Linked DNA regions of Cricetulus griseus. The protein of the gene in region 4 purifies or fractionates together with the protein of the main gene of each other region. This does not show direct contact. Links are inferred from orthologs where the notes say so. Each region holds a gene or a part of one and is shown on either strand. Other genes may lie near its edges.

Region 1 (2,399 bases), on a different chromosome or scaffold from region 4:
ATTCTATGCTAACATGCACAGAATGGATTTGCTTTACCTGCATGAAAAGTGGCCTATGCTAAGCTCACTAATTATCAACTGGCAAAACAGCTTAAGGAAACAAAAGTGACCTAAGTCTAGACAACTTACTGGGGTTCTATTTTCGGAACTTTCCTGAGGACTGACCTATACTAATTGCCAAAGCCACACTTGTAAGGGCTAGTTTTGGTGGCAGATTGCAGTCATCTCTGAACTGAGACAAGCTGTTCCTGCCTCAACACCTAATGCTTTTCAAGGCCCAGCCCCTCACTTCTCACACACAGCCTCTGATGTGTGCCTGTGGTTTGCATATTCATGTTACAAAATAGATGTTAACAATGGTTCTCAAGCCTTTGCTATTTCTGCGACTTTATTAAATTGAAGAACCTAAATACAAAAATGATCGGAAACAGGCTCTCTCTATCACCTATAATAATGTACATGATTTATAATTATAAATTTCATATTACTATAACAAAAACTTTAGTTTTGAAAAATGTTTTATTTGAGAATTACATATTTAGTATCTTCCAAAATACTGTTTCCTAATCACTAAAAAAGAAAGCAGATTCAGTAAGAAATTTAAATCATTAAATATGTTGCACTAATATATACATACAGAATGCTAAATAATATTTAGTCTGGAATGCGTACCATCTTATTAAAGGCTCAACCAGCACAATGTAAGCTATGTATAAAGTTCCATGTACATGAGAGTGTGACACTTAGTTGCCTCAGCTTAGAGCTGGGGTAATTTGTCCACTGGGGTGTCAAACTTGAAGTCCGAAGGGAAGAGATCTGGAGCCCGAGGGTAGATCAGTCTGTAGGACTGTCTGATTGTAACATCAGCAACACCAGCAATATCTCCAATTTCTAAAGGACAAAAAAAGAAGACAAAAAACAAAATCTGCTCAAACTCTTACTACCAAAGAGGAAAGCAAAACAAAACAACCCCTCAATTTCACTTTTTATAACTGATAATAGAAATACATTCTACCATGTATAAGCAGGATTCAAAGTAAATACAGGCCTCTTTAAAGGTGTCTTAGTAATACTAAGGGGCATAATATATGCAAAGCAACCCAGGGCATGGTATCCAGTAACAGGCATTGTATTCCTTTTGCCAGGTATTGTTGCAGGGCTGAGACAATCTACCTATCATGTGCAAAGCTGGGTTTATCCCCAGCATAACATAAACTATATGAGACCTTGCCTCAGTGAACAAAAATGGGGAAGGGCCTTAAGGTGCCACCCCTTACTGAGGTCCCACTGACAATTAATAGTGGCTGGGGGAAGAGGTACTATTTTCTTCAGTGAGTTGCCCATGCTCCAGTAAATGTAATCTATATCCTAAAAGATACAGATTAAAATTAAATAATTCAAGTAGGAAAAGTAGACTTGTATATAGGAAAGCCTATGCCTCTAAAATAATCACTTAAAACCAATATACTGTATTTTCTTCAGGTGCTTTCGGGGAACAGGGCTACATCTCATCCCACTCCCTTCTGTGTTGATGCTTCTTAGGGGGTTCTCAACAGTTAGCATTCTTCACCATCGACTCCCAGCCTTGCATCTCTCTGGCACACTTCCTAATAAAGATCCTACCTTTCTGTGTCCGCTTCTCAGCCGATGCCTGAGAAGCCATGTAAATAGCTGCTGCTGCCACAGAGATGGGGCTCCGGCCAGGAACCAAGTCTAGCTCCACAGCCTTTCGGGCTATGTGCGTAGCTGCCATCTGTACTTGCTTGGGGAGGCAAAGGTTGGAGCAGAACCTGGACATAAAATCCCCAGTTGTGATCAGATCCACACTGGTTTCCAAAGCTTTCAAAATCAATTTAAAACAGCGGCCAATTTCTTTCTTAGAAATCCGAGATACAGCACATATTTCTAAAAGACAAAAATTGAAAAAAATCAAGCCTGTGTTTATTTTCTAATTTATCATTTTTTTATTAGAAAAAGAAAATATTCCAGCTGTAGAAAATTCAGTCATGGCTTAAAGATGAGACCCTAACCCTTTCAAGCAGTGTTTCCCATGGAGCTTAGTATTTAAAATTTCTTGGTTTGGGAGAGCAGGAAGAGAGGAGGGAGGGGGAACTGGAATTGGGATGTAAAAAATGAATTAATAAAAAAAAAGTTAAAAAAATTTCTTGGTTTATATTTTCACCATACTTTAAATGCCAAGTGCATATGCACTCTTTCCATGCTATCTCTAAATAGCTAAAATGTTAGTCACTGCTTGAGTTGTTACAGTAAAAATGATGTGTGACAAGTCTTTGCTCTTCACTTTGACACAGGAAAACTTGAAAGATACTCATTGGATATATAGTAAATGTAGTGTCCTGCCTGGACCTCGGCAGGGAAAGTCAGTGTGCAACATTGAA
Region 2 (3,500 bases), on a different chromosome or scaffold from region 4:
CTGATGCCTGAAGTTGACCTCTGGATTCTACTTATAGGTCCACTTGTGCATGTGACCATACAGAATTATAAAAAATGGAAATCAAGGAGAATTGAAAAAATTGAAATCCCTTAGTAAATATGATTTTAAATTGATATTTTGAAGAAGCACTTACTGAAGTATCAGGAATATTTTCTTTAGGTGTTTCATTACCAAAAGATAGTTTTGGTTGATTTAGTAAGAAATGAAATTTTCATTTATGACTGTAAAGTAAGTAGATTTGACAAAATATGACTTGCTTAAGAGGATCTTATGTTACTTTTCAGTTTTTTGTCTTGTAGACTTTTCTGCCTGGACATGGCAGAATACATTTGTAATTTTGGCAGACAAGAATATCATTGGGTTGAGCCCACTCTGGTTATATAAGGAGATCCAGGGGTTTGTTTTTATTTTCAGGAGCACTTTGATTTCATTAACTTCAGCCTGAACCAATGAATTCTTTTTCCATGATTCTGAGGTTTGTCAGTGTACAGGGTTGAATCTCATCATTGTCAGTTTGTACTGATCAATAATTCTTGGGCTTTCCTAGGTATAAAACAGGAATTGTGGATTTTTGTATAATAAGAGCAGCACTTCTATTGATCTGGCTTTGTAAGACTTTGTGGTTCCTGCTTTTCTGTTTATCATTGCTGTCTTTTACAAACAAAATTGGTCTTGAAAGCATTGTCTGTGTGATGCACGCCTGTAATCCCTACATTTTTTAAGAGAACAAAAGATTGAAAGTTTGAGGATAGCCTGGCCTACATAGCAACATTCTGTCTCAGAAAAACTGGAAAGAAACCAAAAGAGGGGTGGAACAGTGGCCCAGCAGTTAAGACCATGTCTTGCTCTTGTTCCCAGCACTCGTATCTGGTAGTGACTCCAGCTCCAGAGTATTTAATGCCTTCTTCAGTCCTCCCCAGGCTCCAGAACACATATGGCATACATTCACACAATATACACACATACACATAAATAAAAATAATTTAGAAAAAATAAAAGAGCCAGGCTGTAGTGGCATGTGCCTATAATCTCAGTACTCAGAAAGCAGAGGCAGGGAGAGCTCCATGAGTTCAAGTCCAACCTGGTCTACATAGCAGAGCTATGTAGTTGAAACCGTGCCTCAAAAATAAATAATTAAATAACCTTGAATTTTAAAGGGGGGGGGGGAGCTAAGTGTTATGGTACACACTTAAAATCTCGGCGTTAAGGAGGTGGAGTCAAGAGGATTAAGAGTTTAAGGCTAGCCTGTATTACATGAGAACCCTACGCCCCTCATAAAGAGACAGGACTGGGCCTGGAGAAATGACTCGGCAGTTAAGAGCACTGACTTCTCTTCCAGAGGACCCAGGTTCAGTTCCCAGCAATCACAGGGCAGCTCACAGCTATCTGTAACTCCAGTTCCATGAGATCTGACACCAATGCACATAAAATAAAAAAATAATAAAAATAAAAAAATTTAAAAAGACAGGACTGGAGAGATGATGTTTAGCACCTGCGTAGTTTATAGGTGTTGTAACTCCAGTTCTAGGGGATTCAATACCTTTCTCTGGCCTCTTTGGGCCTCAGGCATTCAAGTGTACATAGACATATATGAGGATATGAGGGCAAAACAACCATACACACACACAATAATTTTAAAAGTGACAGTAAAACTGCAAGAGATAGACTTGTTGAAAAAATGTTGAAGCAGATTTCTGAATTTTGTATGTGTTCTTATTGAAAACAGCAGTGCATGGTAACACTGGAGTAAGTTGTGATGGGTGGGAGGGTGGGAACATCCATCTGTGTTTAGAGCGACTCCACAGCTCAGACACAGATACTGCTTAGAATGCTGTGCTAAGCTGTGAATGATTCTGACATGCAAAATCCCTCTTTCCTGTGACCTTTTAGTACTGGACTTGTGTCTGGATTGTTCAGGGACTCTCTGAATGCTTCACTGTTTTAAATTGATAAATTGTCCTGATGTTTTCTGTGACATGTAGTCACTGCCTGTTTAGTCTGGATTCCTTTTAACTTCATATTTTAAAGTCTATCTGGTTCCCACCAGAGTGAATGATAGTATCTAATAAGCCTGCCTTGTTTTCGTTCTGATGTTCGTAGTTGTTCTTTTTAACCCCTCTAATCTGTGTTTCTACAGGCCTGTCATCTTTACTTCAGAGTGTTACTGGGAACCCAGTGCCAGCCAGTGAAGCTACATCCCAGAGCTCTACGGCCTCCCCTGCCAGCACCACCAGCTCTGCCATAAAGGGGAGAAATGTGCTCTCCAGTACCCAGTCTTTTATTTCCAAAAGCTTCGGCTATTCCCCCAATTCTTCAACTTCTGAAGTCTCTTCGACTTCAGCAAGCAAGGCATCAGTTGGGCAAAGCCCAGTGCTCCCAAGCACTACTTTTAAATTACCATCCAGTTCTTTAGGATTTACAGGTACCCACAATACTAGCCCTGCTGCTCCACCTACTGAAGTTGCCATGTGCCAATCCTCAGAAGTCTCCAAGCCAAAGCTGGAATCAGAGTCCACTTCCCCAAGCCTGGAAATGAAGATCCACAACTTCTTAAAAGGTAACCCTGGTTTCAGTGGGTTAAACTTAAACATCCCAATCCTGAGCAGCTTGGGATCCAGTGCCCCATCAGAGAGCCACTCCTCAGACTTCCAGCGTGGTCCTACTAGCACTTCAGCTGACAACATCGATGGCACCCCTGTTCGGGATGAACGGAGTGGGACACCCACCCAGGATGAGATGATGGACAAGCCCACATCCAGCAGTGTAGACACCATGTCCCTGCTGTCTAAGATCATCAGTCCTGGTTCCTCAACACCAAGCAGTACAAGATCACCACCCCCTGGAAGAGATGAAAGCTACTCCCAAGAGCTCCCCAATTCTGTGTCTACATATCGGCCCTTCGGCCTGGCCAGTGATGCTTCCTACAAGCAGCCACCTGAGGGAGTCGAGAGACCATCTTCCCTGATGGACTCTTCACAGGAAAAGTTCTTCCCTGACACTTCTTTCCAGGAAGATGAGGATTATCGAGATTTTGAATATTCAGGGCCTCCACCCTCTGCCATGATGAACCTAGAGAAGAAACCAGCCAAATCCATCCTGAAGTCAAGCAAACTTTCTGACACCGCCGATTACCAGCCAATCATGTCCAGTTATAACCACAGGGCCCAAGAGTTTGGGGTAAAGTCTGCCTTTCCTCCATCTGTAAGGGCACTCCTAGACTCTAGTGAGAACTGTGACCATCTCTCATCTCCCCCTGGGCTATTTGGTGCCTTCAGTATAAGAGGGAATGAACCTGGGTCAGACCGGTCACCATCACCGAGTAAGAATGATTCGTTTTTCACCCCTGACTCCAACCACAGTAGCTTGTCTCAGTCCACCACTGGCCATCTCACTCTGCCACAGAAGCAGTACCCAGACTCTCCTCACTCAGTCCCCCATCGTTCCCTTTTCTCTTCGCAGAATACCCTTGCCGCTCCAAC
Region 3 (3,997 bases), on a different chromosome or scaffold from region 4:
CTCTTTCGGTCAATGAACTTGAGAGCTTCAGCCAGTGTCAACTCCAGGAAAAAACCATATCCCAAGGCCACATAGATGCGGGAAGTATCTGGGCTGAGGAAAGAAGTCAGAGGAAGTGGAGGAAGTCTTTATTACCATTTAGCACATTGTATAGTTGAAGGTGTTTCCTATTCCCTCCAGTTCCCTAAAGTTAAGGCTCTGTAAGGGCCGGTATTTCATGTTCATTCACTTCACACCCACAGCATGTAGCTTACATCCTAGTGCAATATAAAAGTGACCAGAGTCTGGTATATAGAACATATTAAGAAATACTTGTTGCATGAAAGAAGGAAGAAACTCGGAGGGGAGGGAATACACTCACACCATTGTGTCAACGAAGAAGTTACAGCCCAAATCCACCTGCATATATAACTCCGAGTGCTTAGTTTCCTGTAGGGCCAGGAGAAAAGAAGTAGGTGTCAGTGGCCAATTTTTAAGGCAGGAAAAAGGTTTTGTTTTGGGGTTTCTCTTCCCATCTTCCTTCTTTGTACACATATACAAACTGATACCCAATTTAAAAGCCTTTACCTGGAGTCGCTCAATTACATTTCTCAGTTGAAGGTATACAGACAGCTGCTCATATACCTTGTCTCGATGATCCAGCACCTTTCTGATACGTGGAAATAGAAGAGTGATCATTAGGCAGCCCTATTCCTCTTGAGATATCTCACATCATGGCCTAAAAGGCATTTTAAGCCAATTATGGTAGTTCACGAGTGTAATCCCAGTAATTGAAAGACTGAGGCAGGAAGATTATGAGTTCAAGACCAGCCTGGGTTACATAGTGAGATCCTGTGTTACACACACACACACACACACACACACACACACACACACACACACACACACACACACACACACGGAGACATGAGAGCGAGCGAGCGCATAGTATAGACAGAGAAAGACACACCAAGTATTTCAATAAATACAAGTCAGACTGTATTTCATCCTGAGCTCTAACTCTTACTAGCAATGTGACTTTGGCATTAGGAAACCTATTTGGGACTTAGTTTCACAACATATAAAATAGAGATGACAGTATTACCTCATAGGAACCATTAGACTCAAGTGTTTACTATAAAATGCCAGCCAAATGGTAAACACTGTATCCTTTCTATCCATCACTATTACAAATACTGCATTGTACTCAGTGCCTTATGCCAATTAAAATGCTCCATCTTCACCCTACACATACCTTCCATGCTCACACTGCTCTAGTTCCAAACTTTCTGTTCACATTAATAATGACAGCAATACTAATCATCTAATTATTGAGTTTTTAGTATGTTTCATCCACCGGAGCTAAATTCCTTTTCAAAACTATCCAGGTTATTTGTTTTTTATTTTCTGAGACAAGAACTGAGTTTCCCAGGCTACTTGTGAGTACACAAGACAGTTCTTTCCTCTCAGCCTTAATACAACTGTAGTATAGTTGGGTTTATGTAAAGTTTTAAAAAGTATTCTTACTTAATGTATTTATTTTGTGTACATGTATGGGTGCCGTGGTACACCCATGTGAGTCATAGGACAGCTTTTGGGAGTTTTTTTGTTTTCACTATGTGGATCCCAGAGAGCTAGCTCAGGACATGGAAGCAAGGCAATCCATCTTGCTGGCTCCATTGTCTTCTTTTTTTGAGACACAGTCTCAGAGCCTAGGCTGTACTCATCTTTGAAATATAGCTGAGGATGATCTTGAGCTCTGGATCGTCCTGATTCACCCATCCCAAGTACAGGGATTACAAGCCTGTGTCACAACACTGGGCTTTATTTTATCAAAACCATGTTCTACTGTTAAGGCTGGCTTGAACATCCTGGCTAAAGAAATGAATTTTTCCACCTCTCCACTAGATAGGACTACTGACATGCACCACAGAGCCTGAGCCTGGCTTCATTCTAATTTTTTCCCCCTTTTAGAGACAGTCAAGTTTATATTCCAGGCTGGTCTCCAACTTCGAAGATCCTCTTGCTTCTGCCTCCTTCGTGCTGGAATTACAGTCCTGTGTTATCAGTCTAGGCTTTGGGTTACATTCTTTACCTGGGTAGACACATTTAAAACTCAAAACCACCACATTAAGAAGGCTCCATAAACTTTCCCATTCCACAGATGAGCAAAGTTTATAAAGCACAGAGAGGAGAGGTGATGTACAACTTTTTCATAAGTAATGGCTAAATGGCCCAGTCAGAAATGTCGTGGGTTTTTATGACTATTTTAATCCGACGAACGACGCCAGAGGCTCCACTACAAGGGCCAAGTTCCAACCAAATCGCAGCCCGGACGTCAACCCCTCTTCCCGGCCAATCCGAAAGTTTTCCCGGGATTCTGTCCCACCCACCACGTGGAATTTCTCAAATGTCACGCCTAGAATCTGCGTTGTCACTCACTGCAAGTCTCGCTGCAGTACGTCACTGATAAAGGCCTCGTACCGCAGCACTTTCTCTCCTACAGTATCCAAGGCCCGCCGTTTCGGGGGTGTCGCCATGATAGGCTTCCTGGGGAGTGAGGAGGGAGAAAAACCACGTTGAGTGCTCCTGTTTAACTTCACAAAGTTCTCTCCAACCTCTTAACGTTGGGTATGACTTCTTTCGGCTCATGCTACGGGGTTCCTCCTTCTGCCCAACCCGACTCTAACACGCAGTCACTCACCGGTACCCAAGCGCCGTGCTTACCTTAGGGCCACCTAAGGTTAGAATGAACCGCGGTTTCCGGGTGGCGCGGGTGGATGACGTGTTTCCAGCATGGAGGGGCGGTCCAGAATGAGAGGAGACCGCCTGAAAGTGGAGCGCTGAGGCGGGATCTTAAGGAAACCCTGGAGAATACTAGGAAGTCAGAGGGCGGGCTGTCTGCTAGCCGGCTAGTGGTTGACAGCCGCGGGTAGCTGTTTCGGGTGAAGTCTAATGAGCTTTGCCGGGTTCTGAGGGAGGTTGGACGCACAGGAAGGTAGGGAGAGGGAGTAAATCGTTTACAGCTTGTTTGAATCGCGCGCGCATGTTTGAGCGAGCGCGGCAGCGGTACTGGAGTTAAATGCAGTTGTGAGCTCCCATGATGTGGGTGGTAGTAACGGAGTTCACATCCCCTGCAAGAACCTTTTGTGCTCTTAAATGCCGAACCATTTCTGTAGCCTTCTCGCCGGTCTTAATTGTTTTTTTTTTCTTATTTTATCTTTTTTGTCTGCATGCGTGTGCACTATGTACGTGCAGTTCCCGTGGAGGCTAAAAGAGGGCGTCGGATCCCCTGGAGCTGGAGCTACTGAATATTTGTGAGCATTGGGAATCGAACCTGGGGCGTCTACAAGAATAGCCAGTGCTGTTAACCATAGATCCATCTATGTAGTCCCCACCTTTTTTTTTTTCTTTTAAAATCATTTCTATTCTTTGAGAATTTCATAACATGTATGCAATGTATTTTTGCCATATCCACTCCCTACTCCCTCCTTCCAACTCCACCCAGACCCCTCCTACCTCATTTCCCTTCCACCTTCAAGTCCTCTTTAGCAAAACAAACAAACAAACAAACCTCACTGAGTTCACATAAGCATTTGATAATTTAAAAAGCACAAGATTGCCTATAGACTAGTAAGGATTATGGTACTAATCTATAAAGAGGGCAGTATATCCTGTGGCAATTGGTAAATTTGAATATTGCTTATTTTATAAACACATACGCCGGGCGTTGGTGGTGCACGCCTTAAATCCCAGCACTTGGGAGGCAGAGGCAGGCGGATCTCTGTGAGTTCGAGGCCAGCCTGGTCTCCAGAGCCAGTGCCAGGATAGGCTCCAAAGCTACACAGAGAAACCCTGTCTCGAAAAACCAAAACCAAACCAAACCAAACCAAACCAAACCAAAACAAAAAACCCCAAAACATACACGTATATTTCACACACATGGTTTTGGGTTTCATCCTCCGTAAAAGGAATGGGCAGGAGCACATAAAAAATATTTAAACAGACACAAATTTTA
Region 4 (4,100 bases):
AACTCAATGTAGGCCAAGCTGGCTTTGAACTTACAGAGATCTGCCTGCTGTGGTTAAAGGCACAAACCACCAGACCCAGCACATTACATGCAGGGAAGGCTGGAGAACTGGATTAGTTAAAAGGTTTCCAGCACCCATGTGGCATCTAACCACCTGTACCTCCAGCTCCAAGGGATCTAGTTCTTTCTGACCTTCATGGGTAACAGACACACGGTAGACATACATAGGCAAAAGGTGTTTTAAATTTAAAGAAAGTATTGCTCTTGGAGAGGAGCCAGAGTCAATTCCCAGCACTCATGTCAGGTGGGGACCGTCTGTCACCCCCCCAGCTCTGAAAGCACTGGCAATCACCCAGTAACAAAAGTTTGGTAATCTGCCGATGCCTGCAGCTTTCTATCAAATGTAGGGGTAAGTGAGGTGACACTGCTGGCCCCCTTTGCTTTATCTTTTTGAGATACTGTATGTAACTGGCTGTCCTAGAGCTTACTATGTAGACCAGGCTGGCTCTGAACTCACAAGTACTCCATCTGCCTCTGCCTCCCGAGTGCTGGAATTACAGGTGTGTACCACCATACCCATCACCTCTTAGCATCTTGATGCCCACTAAAATGAAAACCTGCTTTGCTGGAGTCCCCTGAACTTGATCTTGGCCAAAAGACCAAGAGGCAACTGCAAACTTATACACTACATGAATGAGCCAACAGGAAGCTGATGTGTTACGTGTTACGTGGCCAGGATCCCGGCAACCATGGTAAGGTGAGTCAGTTTGAGTCCAGTCTACACTACATGAACCCCTACATCAAAAAGCCAACAAAAGCAAGCCGCATGTGAACAGACCTGTCAGTGACAGGTTAAAGTGCCAGCAAGCTGCGGAGAGACGGAAGGAACCGTCCCAGGGCATGTGCTCAGCCTACAGAGCTCTGGTGACACTCGAGGCCTCTGGCCTGGGACTTACGATTTGATGATGTTCCCCAGAGTGTGGTCTTCTTTGTTGATGGTGAACAGGCAAGCATTGGGCACCTTTGTGTCCTTGTTAATGGTGATTCTACAATGAGACAGGCAAAGGCTGAGGGTGATAGCTTTCCCTGGCCCCACATCCAGCTCTTGTGATGCTGACACTGATTCTCAAATCGGTGTCCCCTTTGTGATCAAACATTCTAGAAACTGCAGTTGGGCTGTTCCCACTACCCCAGAAACAAAAACATCCAGCTCTTTCCCTCATACAAATTGGTTGTCTTAAACTAGCTCTTGACTAAATTCTTTCCTAGAAGACAGAAAACAGCTTGTCTCCAAACCCCCTAACAATTCAAGGGAGGCCATCATTCTGCAAGTCCCACTATCCCCAGTCTGCTCGCCCCAAAGGGCTCTCTGAGAGCTCTGGCATGGTTCAATGGGTCACCATTTATCTCAAATTTTTAAGGCTCTGGGTTTCATCCTACCACTCACTCCCCCTCCAAACAAAACAAGCAAGGTAGGCCTGCTGGGACTAGTCACTGGGACTAGTAATCCCAGTGACGGGGGCAGGAGGGCAGAGAAAAACACTGTCATCCTTGCCTTCCTTGACAGACCATGCTGGCTGACTCCTATCTACACTTCCACGTCCCTGGAGGAGCAATGAAGTAGGCACATTGCACAGCTTTGACACGGCTTCTGGAGATCCACACCAATCCTCAGCAAATGCTTTGAGCTGTGACCCACTGAGCCATCTCCCCAGCCTAGCAAATGTTGGGCAGGGGGAGCTGGAGTGAGCCAGGCAGTGGTGGAGCACACCTTTGATCCAGCGCTTGGGAGGCAGAGGCAGGAGGATCTCTGTGACTTCGAAGCCAGCCTGCACTACAGAGCGAGTTCCAGGACAGCCAGAGCAACACAGAGGAAACCCTGTTTTGAAAAACCAAAAGAAAACTACAAAAAAAAAAAAAAAGCTCGAGTGTAGCTTATTGATAGAGCAGTAACCTAGCATGGGCCAGACCCTGGGTCCAGTCCCCAGCATGACCAAAACAAAAAAACAAGGAACCTTCTCTACTCCGTGATGGCACCTTATCTATACACACCAAGGACCCTTTCCCACACAGGATTGCTCCTTTTTTCTTTTTCAGAACGGGATTTCTCTTGGTCCTGGAACTACCTCTATAGACCAGGCTGGCCTTGAACTCAGAGATCCGTCTGCCTGTGCCTCCTGAGTGCGTCATTAAACCGTCGAGTCCTGAAATTCTTTCTAGTGTTGAAGCCACGAACCTGAGTTTGGCCGAGATCCCTGAAAATCTAGAGGAAATCCTCAGGCTGCTGAGGAGTGTGAGAGGGTAGCTGTGTCTCGGTCCCTTCACCGCTACCATCATTATCCTCCTGCCTCAGTCGCCAAGTCCTGGAATCACAGGCGATCGCACCCTATGCAGGGGGGTGAGCTCTAAAGCCATCGCTGCGCAGCATGGATAATGGGGCTGCAGACCAGTGAAAAGGGAGCCTGACACTCTGAGTTCGAATACAGTCCCCGACACTTCCTAAGTGTCTGGAGCAAGGGCTCGACGTGCCCCGGCCTCAGTTTCCCCGCTGTAACACAGGCGTACATCGCACCACCGCCTGAAGTTCGGCAGACGCGCACGAAGCACAGTGCTCACCGCGCCAGAGCTAACGGCCTCCACTTACTTCTTCTCGCCCTCGAAGAGCAAGAACGACTCGAAGGCCGGAGGAGCGTTCATCCTAGAGGTGCGCTCCGGCTCCCAGACTCAAGCCGCAGCCGCCGTTACCACACTGAGCTCCGGACCGCGACCACTTCCGGGTCACGAGGACACAGCCAATCAAAGCCCCTGGCCCCGCGCCCCCTGGTGGACCGGATGACCTTCGGCAGGCACGAGCAGGCGAGGCGGAGCAGGTTAGAAATCCTGTCCAAACCCCAGGGGCAGCACCTCCCAGCACAGGAGGCAGAGCCAAGCGGATCTCTGTGGTTTCGAGGACAGCCTAGTCTACAGAGTGAGTGCCAGGATAGGCTTCAAAACAACACAGAGAAACCCTGTCTTGAAAACAAAACAAACAAAAAGAAAAAAAAAAAAGTGGCTTTCACCAGGCGGCTCTTTGGCGCATATTCCAGCGAGGGAAGGCTGGGCCACCTGCAACTGGCTCACTGAGCTGGAATCCAAGCTGTGTATGTGTATGAGCTGCTGCTGCAGGACCCCGGCTGGCTGGATGAGGAGCAGGAAGGTGTGTAAAAGTGACAGGGTGCCAGCGGATCCTCTGTTGGACACACAGGTAACCAAAAAACAATGACAGCCTGGCACCTCTCTGCTTTTCAGCCGTCTTTGTGGCTATTGTGGCTATTTTTCCTATTTTTAAAGATTTCTATCTGCCTGTCTGTGCAGAACGTACATACAGGAGCCTTTGGAGACCAGCCTTGGAGGTGCTGGGAACCCAACTCTAGTCCTGAAAGAGTAGTCAGTCTTTAACTGCTGAGCTATTTCTCCAGCCTCCATGATGGTTCATTTTGTCAACCTGATGAGATTTAGTATCATTGTGGAAACAGACAAGTGGGCCAGCAGGACAGTCCAGTGGGTAAAGATAGTGTCACCAAGCCTGACTACATGAGTTCAATCCCCAGGACCCATGTGGGAGAAGTTGAGAACCAATTCCTCTGACCTCCCTGTGTACACACAATGTATATACAAACAAAACAAAACAAAAACTTCTGAGTGTGTTGGTGAGATTCTAGACAGGTTTAACTGAGGAAGGAAGGACTCACCATTAAGGACTCACCATTAAGGACTCACCACGTGCATGATGCCATCCTAGAGGCTAAGCCCTCAGACTGAATAAAAGAGGAAAGGAAACCATCTTGTTCTGCTTCCTGGATGCAGGTGGCAATGTGATCAGCTGCCTGGCACTCCTGTTGCTATGACATCCCAACCCTTCCTGAGGATGCTTCTGTCGGGTTTGTAGACACAGCAACAGGAACAATAACTCAGTCTCCTAGTCTTTGGAGTAACAGGTATGAGCCAGCCTAGCCATTGGTACATGAGCACTAAAACTTCACTGTATAACATGGAAGATGGCAGTGCCACCAGGGGACAAGTGAAGACAATGCCAGGTGCCAGAGGGCTTTGGAACCCTTC
Region 5 (3,998 bases), about 68 Mb from region 4:
ACTTAGCAATATAAAGAAACATTGGCATAGATGAACTTCAAGATCATTACACTAAACATTAACAAAGCCAGACTCAGAAATTATCAAACTATTTTCCAAAGAGGTTCTACTATTTGCAAACCCCTCCCTGTTTAGCTGTCTATGGAAATCTCAGATCTTCTTCTTTCTTCTTCTTCTTCTTCTTCTTCTTCGTCTTCTTCCTCCTCCTCCTCCTCCTCTTCCTCCTCCTCCTCCTCCCTCCTCCTCCTCCTCCTCTTCCTCCTCCTCTCTCCTCCTCCTCCTCCTCCTCCTCCTCCTCCTCCTCCTCTTCTTCTTCTTCTTCTTCTTCTTCTTCTTCTTCTTCTTCTTCTTCTTCTTCTTCTTCTTCTTCTTCTTCTTCTTCTTCCTAACACTTGACAGGGTCAGTCTAATTCCTGATATTCTGATTTGTCCAAATATCCAAATCTTGTTGTTTTGTTTGTCTTGAGACAGGGACTCACTATGTCGCCTTGGCAGGTCTCAAACTCACTATGTAGATCAGGCTGGTCTTGGACTCACAGAGATTAGCCTGTCTCTGCCTCCCAAGTGCTGAGATTAAAGGCATGCACTACCACGCTTAGCTATATTGTGTTTATAAAATGCATTTTATAATTGCTAGTAATACTGGTCATTCATTGTTTTTTAAATATTTATTATGTTTTGATTGTGTGTGTGCTCGTATGTGTGTGCATGTGAACCAGGTGCCTGCAGAAGCCAGGGAAGGTTGTGAGATGCCCTAGAGGTGCAGTTAAAGGCAATTGTAAGCTACCCCACAGGGGTGCTGTTACCCAAGTTCTAGTCCTCTGCAAGAGCACTATGCACTCTTAACCACTGAGCCATCTCTACAACCCCCTGTCATTTATTTTTACGGTTATTAGTGTTCATTCAGGAATCCCTGTGAAATGTTTGTCCAAACACTGTACTGCTTAATTGAGATGTGACACTATTACTTCTGGCATACTTTGCTTAATAGAAGTGAGTCAGTAAGTCTTTGACATGGGTGTCCTATACTTTCTCAAAGCGAAGTCGAAAAGCTGGGAAAGCAAAGGACACACATCCAGCGAAAGCGCGCCAAACCCAGACACTTCTGCGGTGATGTAACTTCCGCCCCTGAGCTCTTCCTCGGGCGCCCCCTTGCTCCTGGCCCGGTCCGTTTCCGGCATTTCAATAAAGCTCCATTCGGCTCGAAGAAGCCGTGCTCTTCCGGGAAAATGGCGACTCCCGCTCGCGCGCCCGAGTCGCCGCCGGCCGCGGAGCCTGCTCCCGCCGTGGGCCCCGCCGGGGAGCCGTGCCCTCCGCGTCAGCCGCAGCCCGTGCACAATGTTCTCGCTGCCCCGCGGCTTCGAGCCCCCAGCTCCCGAGGACTTGGGGCAGCGGAGTTCGGCGGAGCTGCGGGAGAGGTTGAGGCGCCAGGAGAGACTTTTGCGCAACGAGTAAGCGGTGGCTCGGGGGTCGCGGTTGCGGGGAATCGGGACCGGGATCAAGGGATAGGCTCTCGGGGGTAGAGATCCGGGACCAGCCTCCCGCTCCCCGCCGCGGCCTTTCGGGCGAAGGTGACCTTGCGTGGTCATGCCTCCTGGCCAGGCCCGTGCTGCGCGCGGCGTTCCTCCATGCTGCCTGGCCCTCAGCAGGCAGCAGCGCCTGCTCCATTCCACGTCCCCACAGCGGCTTTGAGAAAACGTAACCCTGGGGACCCAGTCCTTGCGACCAGACGGCGTCGATCCCCGCTTCTCTATCTAGAGCCCCACTCTTTCCCAAAGCAAAGGAGACGGGGAGAGTGTGCTGTAAAGATGGGCTAATTAGGCCTAGAAAGTTTCGCTCCCGCGTAGTAGGGTGGATGATGATAGCTGACGTTTTAATTTTTAAAGGCAGCTTTGTTTAGGAGCGGGGTTGAGGTAATAAGAGGCAGAAGACGCCAAAAATGTATTTTTTTCCGAGAGATTTTTTTTCAGCAAGATGGGAAGGTGAACTGTGAAGGCAATCGAGAAACTGGGAAAACTTAAGTACTGGTGAAATAATTTGGAGATAAATACATATTCATAGTTAACAGGTGGTTGAAATTTCTGGGGAGCCACAAAGGATAATGAGAAAATTGGGAGAGAGGAATGGATTCAAGGTTAATTTTTTTTTTTTACGCGGGTGTATTTAGTGGAGGGGAATAATGGCAGGCGTTTAGTTAGTTAAAAGCCAACTGATTAAACCCTGAGAAATGGGTACTAGGCTCAAGAGAGGGCTGAATAAGCAGAGGAACCCCAGTTGCAGAGAGGCAGAAAACATGAATGTGGTGTGGTATCGGGAATAATAGAGGACCTAAGAGATCTTCATTTGTTATGTAACTAAGGGAAAGAACCAGAAAGGGAATTTCACTGAGCAAAAGGGGCCAGTGAGCACTGGAGACAGGTATTGTTTTGATTCTTTTTTTTTTTTTTTCTTCTTTTTTTCTCCAGAATGGGTTGTTAATAATAGCAATAAATTAACCTTTTGATCTCAGGACATTTTTAGATTCTTTAAGAATCACTGGGCATCCCTAAGAGCTCCTGTTTATTTATACTGGCAATATTGCTGATTTAACAGAAACAACTTAAGTCTTTCACAAAAACACATAAGTCCATCTTCCTTTGTAAGATAGTGATGTATTCTATTATGTGACCTCTGTGAAACCTGTTGTACTCAGCTTTTATGACAGAAATGGCAAATAGTGCTTTTGACCCATTTTTCAGCCTCATTAGGGTTCAAAGACCATATTTTTAAAACCACTAGTCTTTATTTATATTGAACAGGTTGAATATCTGCTTTCCTAAATACACAAACCAGAATTTTATATTTTTAGGGAGATTGGAATGTATATGTGAGTGTATTGGGACGGTATCGAGTTAAGACCCAAGTCTCAAAATGATTTCAGTTGTTTCTTATATATGACTTTCAAGGTAATTTTGTGTTGTGTTCTTTATAGCTTGGGTTTTGACTGCATCTCATCATGTGGCAAGGTGTGAAGTTTTCCACAGGGCAGTCATTGTCTGGGCTTGAAGAATTTCAGATTTTAGATTGGGAAAATATCTGATGGGTTCCTGTATTAGGCCAGATAAAAATCAGATTTATTTTGAAAAAACTTCAAAGCCAGCTTTTCTTTGAGGATTATATTCTGCCTTTTAAATACCGTGTTTTCATGTTTAAAAACATGGCTCTAATGTGTACATGTTGGTTTCTTTCTTTCTTTTTTTTGCATTTGACAGAAAATTCATTTGCAAATTGCCCGACAAAGGTAAAAAGATTTCAGACACCGTTGCCAAACTGAAAGCTGCCATTGCAGAACGTGAAGAAGTTAGAGGGAGAAGTGAACTGTTTCATCCTGTTAGTGTAGACTGTAAGCTAAGGCAAAAAGCAACCACACGAGTTGATATCGACATAGACAAGGCCCAGAATTCTGACCTGATGCTTGATACTTCATCATTAGTTCTTGACTGTTCCTCTGTAGACATCAAATCATCTAAAACAACCTCAGAAACACAAGGACCTGTACATCTCACTCACAAAGGCAATGAAGAGACTTTGGAGGCTGACTGCACAGTGAACACCGGCCCTGTTCCCGGCAGTACAGCCAGGGCACCCTCATCTGAAGTTAACAAACATCTCCCCCAACGCCCTGTTTCAAGTCAAGTGGAAGACATTTCCAGCAGCATTGACAGTCTGTTTATCACTAAGTTGCAGAAGATCACAATTGTAGACCAGAGTGAACCCTCAGAAGAAAACAGCAGCTCTGAGAACGTGCCGGAGCTCCAGAGTGAGACGCCTAAGAGGCCTCATTACATGGAAGTGCTAGAAATGCGAGCCAAGAACCCAGTGCCCCCTCCTCATAAGTTTAAGACCAATGTGTAAGTGTCACAGAACAGGGAACAGGCTTGTCCCAAGAATGTTTCATGTGGTATGCCAGTTCAGAGAGTGCTGTGTGTGTGTGAGGATCTTCTAAGCAGGAGTGAACA
Region 6 (4,215 bases), on a different chromosome or scaffold from region 4:
ACGGCCATACCACTCTGAACATGCCCGATCTCATCTGATCTCAGACGCTAAGCAGAGTTGGGCCTGGTTAGTACTTTGATGGGAGAAAATGCCTCTATAACGTTTTGGGCTGTAGGCAAACCTGTAGGGCATCTTCTTAATTAGTGATTGATGGGGGAATAGTTTAGCTCATTGCCTGTAATGTTACCCCTGGGTTTATGGTCCTGGGTTCTATAAGAAAGCAGGTTAAGCAAGCCTTTCGGACAAGCCAGTAAGCAGCACCTCCCCATGGCCTCTGCACCAGCTTCTGCCTCAGGGTTCCTGCCCTGTTGGAGTTTCTGTCCTGACTTCCTTTGATGATGAACAGTGATGTGGAAGTATAAGCCAGATAAACCCTTCCCTCCCAAGTTGCTTTTGGTCATGGTGTTTCCTCACTGCAATGGTAACCCTGACTAAGACAGTGGTGTATGAAGCAGTACTCAAACATTCTGGTCTTGGGATTCCTTTATATTCTTAAAACTAGAGCTTTTTCACATATGGATAATATCTGTCGGTATTTACTACATTCAGATTAAAACAAATTAAAAACAATTTATTTCACTTGACAATACCAAGCCTGTCAGATGTTAACTTTTAAATGCATTCTATTAAATGAGTGAACTGATGTACATTTTTTGCTTGTATTTTTTTAGCTGGATTGAACTTGGAAGTATATTATGTCAGAATAAATCAAGAGGATCCGTCACCTGTTATCAATCACCATTTCATTACCTTATGGATTGCTTTGTCATCCTAGCTAATCTGCTCACAATACATTTTAGCTGGAGCTGGGAGTGTAGCTCAGTGGTAGAGTACTGGCCTAGGATGCAAAGTATTATGCAGCTCCACAGGAAATGCTTTCCTGAACAGTTCTCGAATACGTCTAGCATCTCTAACCCTCCACACCACCTCGCCCTAAATTAAACCTTACATCCAAGCACTGCCTTGCTGTTCTGTGCTCAGACAAACCAAATTTCTCCATGTGACACAGTAGATAGTACATGAACAGAATTCTGCCTCCTTCCCTCCCTCTGGGGATGTTATACACACCCGACCCCAGGCTCTTCATACACACTATCCCCCTAGCTGAACTTCTCTCATCCCTACTGTGTGCTTTACACCTACTCTCTTCAGGGTTTAGAGAAGCCTTGTCTTGAAAACCCACAGGCCACCCCCTGCCAATCTAAATCATTAGCCCTGCCTCATATCTCCTTTTTCTTCATAACACTTACTGCAACTGGTGATGACATATTCATTTGTGTTAGTTTAACTGACATTTCTCAGTCCCAGTGCACTAACCCAAATACAGGCTATCTTGTATTTGGAAAATATTTTGAAAGAAGAGTTTAGTGAATCTTGAAGTGTTGAGTCACGGAGACTTTTAATCTCTTCACAGACAATACCTCTCTTAGAGATCTTTTGTGACATGAGAGATAGATAGTAAAGGGTGGTTTTGGTTTGTTTTTAAATCTGCATTTAATGCTAGGAGACGAAGGGTTCCAGTGAGTCTGGCATATACAACAGTAAGCATGGATGTGAAGAGATGGGGAAGGAATGCTTGGTTAATTCAGGGATGGTGTGCCCACTATGTTTCCAACAGTTTCCAACAGCCTTAGCCTCCAGTTTGCTTTCCTTAAAGTTTTGAGAACTATTAGTGCTCCCTACATCTTCTCATAAGTTTGTTCTCAGTACATAGTTCAATGCCCAAATCCCAAGACTAGAAAATAAAACCAAACAAATCTGATCCAATTAATGAGATAAAAGGAAAGTGGCTATACCTTCTGGAAGCATCTTCTGGTTGGAGGGCACTTGTCTGTTTAGTTCCTACAATTGAAGAGATAACAGCAAATGCAAACACACATTTGATGTAGCAGTCTTACCCAAATAACACACTGTGGGCAGCTTTTCCTTTTCTCTCACAAATTTCATTTCTAGGTAGACAAGAAGGAAACTCCATTGCTTCTGTAAATTAACTACATCTCAATTTTTCTTGACTAAAATCTCTTTGGGGACTGGCTTTTTTCATGTATCATATCAGCTTTAATCAAGTACTTCTTTAAAACAAACAAACAAACAAACAAACAAAACAAGCCAGGCGGTGGTGGCACATGCCCTTAATCAGGAGACAGAAGGCAGGCGGATCTCTGTGAGCTCAAGACCAGACTGGTCTACAGAGGTAGTTCCAGGACAGAGCTAGGGCTGCTACACAGAGAAACCCTGTCTCAAAAAACAAAAATAAATAATAAATAAAAAATAAAAAACAAAACAAAACTTAAAGCTTTAGGATAAACATTTCTCGGTCTCCCAAATGCTAGATAGCTTGCCTAAAAAGAGGCGCTGATACCTCAGAGACCAGGCCCCAAAGCAGTCCAAAAGGAGGTGTAGTCCAGGATTCGAGGCGGCTGAACACCACCTGTTCTTGGCCCCTTGTGCTGGGGTCCCCAGCACGGCCCACGCAGGGGAAGACCCCGGAACACCCGCGTGAGGCCGCGGGATTCTTTCCCGAGGGCACCGGGGCAGCCACCCGCCACTCGGAGCCCTCCCTCCCCCGGGGGCAGACTGGGCAAGCAGCCCGCGCGCGCAGTGTAGACTCAAGCCAGGGTCTCGGGGTCCAAACCTGGAAGAGGCTACGGTTCGTACCTGCAGCCTTTCGGTAGGTGCTGGAGGCCGGGGCACTCGGGCCCAGCGAGAAAGGAACCGCAGAATCAGCCATGGAAAACGCAGTCAGAAGGTGAGACGCTGGCGGCCGCCAGGCTCCGCCCCCCATGCGTCTTCCGGACCGTGCTGGGGGCGGGCCCATGGAGGGAGGGGCGAGCGCTGGAGAGGGTGTACCCAGTCCAGGGGCGGGGCGAGCACCGGAGGGGACGGGCCCAGGGAGGGCGGGGCGAGCGCCGAAGGGTGAAGACCCAGCCCAGGGGCGGGGCGAGCGCCGGAGGAGGCGGGGTCCCAGAGGCGGGGCGAACGCCGGAGGGGGCGGGCCCGACCTAGGGGCGGGGCCAGGAGTGAGGCCTGCGCTGCGGGAGGTGGAGAAGGCGAGCGGTCTGGCGGGTAGGTGGACGAGCTGGCTAGGGCTGGTCCAGGCTGGCTCATCAGGACCCTGGCAGCGCGAGGCTCGCCTGCTAGGCCCCTCGAGGTGCTGGAGCCTGGATGCTCTGCCCAGTAGGAACAGGGAAACAGGCAGGGAAACAGGGAGAAATGGCTCCCCCTCGGCTCAGCCCACAGGCGCGGTAGGGTGTGATTTTGCTGTCCGCGCCTGGGGGGCAGCGATTCCACCAGCCCCCGGGGCCGCATGCTGTGCTGGTCACCACCGAAGGCCTTCTCTTCGGGTGGTTCGGTGATCTCACTGACTAGGTTTGGTTCCTGTGGAGAGGGCAGGTCTTGTGGGGCATGGGGTGAAGGGCGTCAGAGTCTTCAACTTATTTGGGTGACTTAATTGTGTTGGATTTCAGTATTTATCAATGGGACATTTTAAAGATTCCCTAATGATTAGAATTCTTATGCCAGGTCTACCGTTTTTGTTTTTGATTTTGTTTTTTTTTTTTCATGAAAGGAATACTTTCCTCTTTTGAAAAAAAGTTCTTCTAGGAAGTTCTCTCTAGGGTTCTTTTTCTTTTTTAAATCTCTTTTCATTCTTTAGGCAATACACTAGAGGCTTTAAAAATGTTCTAGTAGACTAGCACACTAGCGTTCAGTAATACCATTTAAGCTATAAAAATTTACATTGTATTTATGTGTTTTCTATTAATTCAGAATGAAACAGTTTATGAAACATAATTTACATAGTATCACAACTAACTGTGTTTTGTATTCATTTCATCATCAAGACTAGGACACTTATTAGGAATGGCTGTTGAGGAACTTCAGTGCATAATAAAAAGATGTGTAAGTAATTCTCTAAAACCACCTGTAAAATATGGCAAGGGCATAGATTATCTTTAATTACTTTGTGGTCACTCACATTATTTACCTTATCTATAATTCCAGCTTTTTTTGTTTTTTACTTGTAAATAAACAGCATAAGAGTAGGAAGGTAGATTGGATTTGTGTGTGTGTGTGTGTGTGTGTGTGTGTGTGTGTGTGTGTGTGTGGGCCTTTAATCCCAGTACTTAGGAGGCAAAGGCAGGGAGGTCTCTGTGAGTTTGAGGTTGGCCTGATCTACATAGTGATTTCCAGGACAGCAAGGGCTATAACAGAAAG
Region 7 (4,286 bases), on a different chromosome or scaffold from region 4:
AGAAAGGACAGTGCTTGCTGCTCAGAAGCTAGAACACACAGCAGAGCTGGCCTTCCTCTAGAGACCTCCTTGGTCAAGGAGCTGCTCCCAATTTCAGAGACTGTGGACAGTAGGTCAGCTGCCTGGCACTGACTTTCCAAGCAACAGCTAAATTTGTTAGCTATGATTGCACTCATAAAGGTAAGCATTACATGACACCAATCTCTGTCACTTTCTCTCAAGAGGGTTAATTTTAGTGTAAGCTCTTCAACTGTGTCCCCATTTTGTATTTTTTTCCATGAACATCTTAAATATGTGTCAATTACCAAGTGGTAGAGCTCATAACTGGGCAGAGCAGAGCCCTGTGCCAGCACACAGCTCTTACTTGGGCCCTGAACAATCCAGAAAAAGTACCCTTCAATGCCTCTGGAAGAAATCAAGGACAGTCCTCCAGGCTGAGTTCTACAAAGAGGTCCTGCAAAGCCAGCACATGACAGTGTTCATGAATAGTTACTGATACACTGCATTTAGAGAAAAACTTCCCTCCTCATTAAGAGACAAGTTCTCAACTCTAGCCATCACAATGAGGTCACTTATCCCTATAGCCCTTTGAGATACACACTCCACTCCAAGTAACTTACCCACAGGTGAAGGAGTATATTAACACTTAGGCCCAAGGTAAGATTCAAAAAGCAAAGGTTTGGGGACCAGGCACTGTGGCCCACGCCTTTAATCCCAATACTCGGAAGGCAAAGGACATAGTATGTTCCAGAGGCTCTGTCTTAATACACACACACACACACACACACACACACACACACACACACACACACTCACACACTAAAATTTGAGTCCTCTATCTTCCTTCTTTTACCCCCAAAAGAATCCTTTAGTCAGAGCCTTACCCGCAAGGCTGCCCCACCTGAAGCGAAGCATCATTACTGCCTATCAAAGCACTAGCTGATCCCAGCACTCTCACAGGCAGCAGTCAGGATCCCTGGTGATTTCTCACGAGTCAACATACAGGACTTAAGAATTACACTGTGGATGCTGGCAGTGGTGTCGCACAACTTTAATCCCAGCACTTGGGAGGCAGAGGCAGGTGGATCTCTGTGAGTTTGAGGCCAGCCTGGTCTACAGGTAGAGAAACCGTGTCTCAAAAAAAAAAAAAAAAAAAAAAAAAAAAAAAAAAATCCACTGTGTACATTGTAGCTTCAGAAAACATGCAAAAGCCACTGAGGTTACATTTTTCACATCACTTGTTTGTATCTTTTAATATCTCAATCATGTAATTGCAGTAATATCAGTCACTGTTTTAAAAAACATTTAAAAAAAAAAGACTTTTTAGAAGATTTTATCTAGCCTGTCCTTACTCCACCCACCAAAAATGTCTAAAATATTGGCTAAATCAGTATCAAGGTGATCTTAATAGGGCCTCAAGATCAGGAAGAAGAGATTTACTTTGAATCTGGCAAGCAGATTCTTCCAGAGATCAGGAAACCTCCATTTCTACCAAGACTGCACAACTAATGTGAATTTCTTGGAACACACCAGAATATGGCACATTACTAAGAGTAACAAGCCAAGCACAAGTAAGGGAACCAAAAGAGCTCCCTGCTCAAACCTCAGTTACCTGGCCAAGCCCAAGATGATTTTTCTTTCCATCCTGAGCATATTAAAAAGTGATCTCAAAGGCCACTTCCTGGTCTCCCAGCAAACACTTCATACCTGGATGCTTGTGCATCTTCTCATGGCCCTGCTGCTTCCAGGAACAAAGACCCTCACCCCCTCCCTACACTGCCAACAAACCTTTGGAAAAAACACAACAGGTGAGATTAGCCTATGCTCACACAGGAAGAAAGGGTGTCCCTCTGCTCATAGGACGCTTAGCAGAGGGAAATGTGACATAAAGTGACCCCATACAGTTAACTCTTGACAGCCTAGAGACCAAACACCAGGCCGAGTCCCTCAGGTGGGGCAAGAGAGATGGAAAGAAGACCAGAATAGGGGCGAGAGAACAATCGACTGTGATGAGCAGGAATTCAGTACCAAAACCCCAGGCTTGTCAGACACACAATGGGACATTTAGGCCAAGAAAGGTGACAGGAAGGATCCCACCTTCTGCAGGGTCGTCTTTCCTAGGTAGCGACCCTTGGAGGGATTAAACTGGGGTCTGTCCAGTATCAGAAAAGAAGGGAAACTCTCCAGGGATCCCAAGCAGCAAGACTAGGGACAAGGAGGGCCTAGGGTTCTCTCCGAGCCCAAGAAGACGATTTCAGCCAGAAGACCGAAGGGAGACGCGGGCTACCAGAGTCATCGGGGGACACTAGTTGCTTCCCACCTTGACCCCCGTAGGGAGACCCTTCCGGGGGGTCTCAAGTCCCGGGGTCGAAGAGAGACAGGGAGGCAAGGTGGAAAGCACCAAGGACAATCTGGCCGAGGCAACCGAGGAGAACCAGGTCTGATTTCGGCTCCGAGCGATCCCTCAGTCCAGGCCGCGTGAAGCCTCGGCCTCAGGTACCCTGAGTCGCCGGGCTGCCCGCCTTGCCCGCGGCCCCTGGACCCGGGAGAACGAGAGGCCGAGATGGCAACGGCTGTGGCGGGCAGGGCGCCGCCGGGAGAGGCCCCCAGGCCGGGGGCGCGTCGGAGGGGGAGGGTCCCGGCACATGCGGCCTCGGTCCCCGTTCTCCAAGCAGTCACTTACGTTACTCTGGGAGTCGATGGCCTGCAGCAGCCGGTCCCTCATCTGCTGCGGAGACGCCGGAGCCGCTGTCATTGCCTGGGCGAAGCGGGGGGGAGCGGCCGGGCCGGCGGGCGGGCGGGCTGGGGCGGGGGGACGCGGGTCAGTCGCTCGCCAGCCTCCGGGAACGGAGCCGCATGTTCCCCGCGGCGCCGGAGGAGGTCGGGGCGCTCGGGGAGATGGCGGAAGACGGAGGGAAGCGGAGGGGACCGGAGCTCGGGCCCCGGGCCGCCGCCGCTGCTGCGAGCAGGGGGGGAGGAGGAGCCGACGGAGAAGCCGCCGCCGCCGCCGTCGCCGCCGCCGCCTCGAGAACCAAACTCCAGTGAGCTGCCCCCGCGCTGAGCACTCTGGGTAACCCGCGCCGCACGCAGCGTCGGCGCCACGCTGAGGAGGTTGGGAGATGGGGGCGGGCGGAGACTCTGGCTCTGGGAGGGGCCGGCTCGTGAGCCGCTTCTGTTGCCTCTGCGCATGCGCGCGCACGCGCGTTTATCAGGTCGCGTCGCCACGCCCCATGGCCCGTTCCAGAGAGCCGTTGGGAGGCAGTTGGGCGGGGCAACGGACGCTGTCTAAAGGCCACGCCCACTCCGAAAAACCGGTGGGCGGAGCTTCCTAACGGAAGCGCACCCGCTGGGTCTTGGAGCTTGGACTCTTCCTCCGGGCTGCCTCGGGGGTGCGGAGAAGGAGGACCCTCCCCTCGGATGAAGGGCCGCAGCCGGGGGCTGGGACCCGGCTCAGGAGCGACGCCAAGGAGACCCGCGCCGCGAGGACCTCGGGAGAGTTCTGCGCAGCCGCCGCCGCGGTGGAAACCGGAGGCGCGGGTCTGCGGGGCAGTGCGTGTCCCCGTATGACCCGCGCAGAGGGGACCTAAGGGCACCGCCGCCTCCGACAGGGCCTGCGCGACCCGCTCAGGAGGAAGCGCCGCTCGCGTCGCCGGCCGGAGGGACCGCCGTGCCCGAGGTGGCGGGGCTGCAGCCCGGCATCCGCCCCTTCCTGTTGGCTTTGCATCTCAGGTGCTGGAAAACAGGAACGCCCCACCGAGCAGGAAAGCAAGCGTCAGAACCACCTGGAGTTTTAGGCCACACCAAGAGAAGCGAGATGTTAAGTGTCGGGCTCCCGACCCCCCGTCTTTGGGTGACCCGGAGCTCCGCTGCAGATGACGGGAGGAGGGCGGGCGGGCGGGCGGCGGGCTCCGAGGTTACCTTAAAGATCCAGACTGGAAACGGAAGGGAAACAGGTAATGGGAACCACATGTGCTCCTGAGAGCTGGGCGACCCCTGTTAATTTTGAATTTGTTATACTTCTGAGGGTTAGCCGGGATCGGGGGATGGGGGAGAGGGGGAGGGAGAGCCTGGCATTTAATGCCAGTGCTCGGTTGGCCCGAGGATCTCTGGAGTTCGTGCCCAGCCTGGTCTACACAGTGAGCCCCAGACCAGCCAGGACGGAAAGTCAGAACCTGTCCTTCCCTCTCCCCTCCACAAACAAAAGCTTTATCATGGCTTGTTTAATTCTGCACCTGGCAGAAGCCTGCGTTACACTAGTAGAACGAAAACGTACTTCTTACATACAC

The links.
Region 1: the proteins of DNA-directed RNA polymerase II subunit RPB11-a (region 4) and Gtf2b purify together in Homo sapiens (affinity purification with mass spectrometry; 3 studies listed by BioGRID and IntAct, with this or other methods). This does not show direct contact. The link is inferred for Cricetulus griseus from reciprocal best matches to the Homo sapiens genes POLR2J and GTF2B.
Region 2: the proteins of DNA-directed RNA polymerase II subunit RPB11-a (region 4) and Rprd2 purify together in Homo sapiens (affinity purification with mass spectrometry; 3 studies listed by BioGRID and IntAct, with this or other methods). This does not show direct contact. The link is inferred for Cricetulus griseus from reciprocal best matches to the Homo sapiens genes POLR2J and RPRD2.
Region 3: the proteins of DNA-directed RNA polymerase II subunit RPB11-a (region 4) and Uxt purify together in Homo sapiens (affinity purification with mass spectrometry; 3 studies listed by BioGRID and IntAct, with this or other methods). This does not show direct contact. The link is inferred for Cricetulus griseus from reciprocal best matches to the Homo sapiens genes POLR2J and UXT.
Region 5: the proteins of DNA-directed RNA polymerase II subunit RPB11-a (region 4) and Polr2m purify together in Homo sapiens (affinity purification with mass spectrometry; 3 studies listed by BioGRID and IntAct, counting the BioPlex papers as one, with this or other methods). This does not show direct contact. The link is inferred for Cricetulus griseus from reciprocal best matches to the Homo sapiens genes POLR2J and POLR2M.
Region 6: the proteins of DNA-directed RNA polymerase II subunit RPB11-a (region 4) and Rpap2 purify together in Homo sapiens (affinity purification with mass spectrometry; 5 studies listed by BioGRID and IntAct, with this or other methods). This does not show direct contact. The link is inferred for Cricetulus griseus from reciprocal best matches to the Homo sapiens genes POLR2J and RPAP2.
Region 7: the proteins of DNA-directed RNA polymerase II subunit RPB11-a (region 4) and Med26 purify together in Homo sapiens (affinity purification with mass spectrometry; 5 studies listed by BioGRID and IntAct, with this or other methods). This does not show direct contact. The link is inferred for Cricetulus griseus from reciprocal best matches to the Homo sapiens genes POLR2J and MED26.

What each region holds. Positions count from the first base shown.
Region 1 is NW_023276806.1:16,358,128-16,360,526, forward strand, and holds the end of Gtf2b (transcription initiation factor IIB), read right to left. Parts: intron 1,906-2,399; coding exon 1,624-1,905; intron 892-1,623; coding exon 758-891; 3' UTR 501-757; downstream 1-500. UniProt on the Homo sapiens protein: General transcription factor that plays a role in transcription initiation by RNA polymerase II (Pol II). Involved in the pre-initiation complex (PIC) formation and Pol II recruitment at promoter DNA.
Region 2 is NW_023276806.1:60,735,635-60,739,134, forward strand, and holds part of Rprd2 (regulation of nuclear pre-mRNA domain-containing protein 2), read left to right. Parts: intron 1-2,158; coding exon 2,159-3,500.
Region 3 is NC_048604.1:125,813,291-125,817,287, forward strand, and holds the start of Uxt (protein UXT), read right to left. Parts: upstream 2,801-3,997; 5' UTR 2,707-2,800; exon of another isoform or gene 2,530-2,706; 5' UTR 2,520-2,529; coding exon 2,422-2,519; intron 650-2,421; coding exon 568-649; intron 430-567; coding exon 362-429; intron 94-361; coding exon 1-93. UniProt on the Homo sapiens protein: Involved in gene transcription regulation. Acts in concert with the corepressor URI1 to regulate androgen receptor AR-mediated transcription. Together with URI1, associates with chromatin to the NKX3-1 promoter region.
Region 4 is NC_048597.1:115,111,156-115,115,255, reverse strand, and holds the start of DNA-directed RNA polymerase II subunit RPB11-a, read right to left. Parts: upstream 2,801-4,100; 5' UTR 2,697-2,800; coding exon 2,644-2,696; intron 1,046-2,643; coding exon 956-1,045; intron 1-955. UniProt on the Homo sapiens protein: Core component of RNA polymerase II (Pol II), a DNA-dependent RNA polymerase which synthesizes mRNA precursors and many functional non-coding RNAs using the four ribonucleoside triphosphates as substrates.
Region 5 is NC_048597.1:182,991,350-182,995,347, reverse strand, and holds the start of Polr2m (protein GRINL1A), read left to right. Parts: upstream 1-1,198; 5' UTR 1,199-1,338; coding exon 1,339-1,451; intron 1,452-3,251; coding exon 3,252-3,890; intron 3,891-3,998.
Region 6 is NC_048600.1:2,358,648-2,362,862, reverse strand, and holds the start of Rpap2 (putative RNA polymerase II subunit B1 CTD phosphatase RPAP2), read right to left. Parts: upstream 2,801-4,215; 5' UTR 2,786-2,800; coding exon 2,659-2,785; intron 1,843-2,658; coding exon 1,797-1,842; intron 1-1,796. Other genes in the region: Glmn (glomulin), read left to right, coding at 3,308-3,369, 3,843-3,900.
Region 7 is NW_023276806.1:247,288,613-247,292,898, forward strand, and holds the start of Med26 (mediator of RNA polymerase II transcription subunit 26), read right to left. Parts: upstream 2,801-4,286; 5' UTR 2,756-2,800; coding exon 2,684-2,755; intron 1-2,683. UniProt on the Homo sapiens protein: Component of the Mediator complex, a coactivator involved in the regulated transcription of nearly all RNA polymerase II-dependent genes.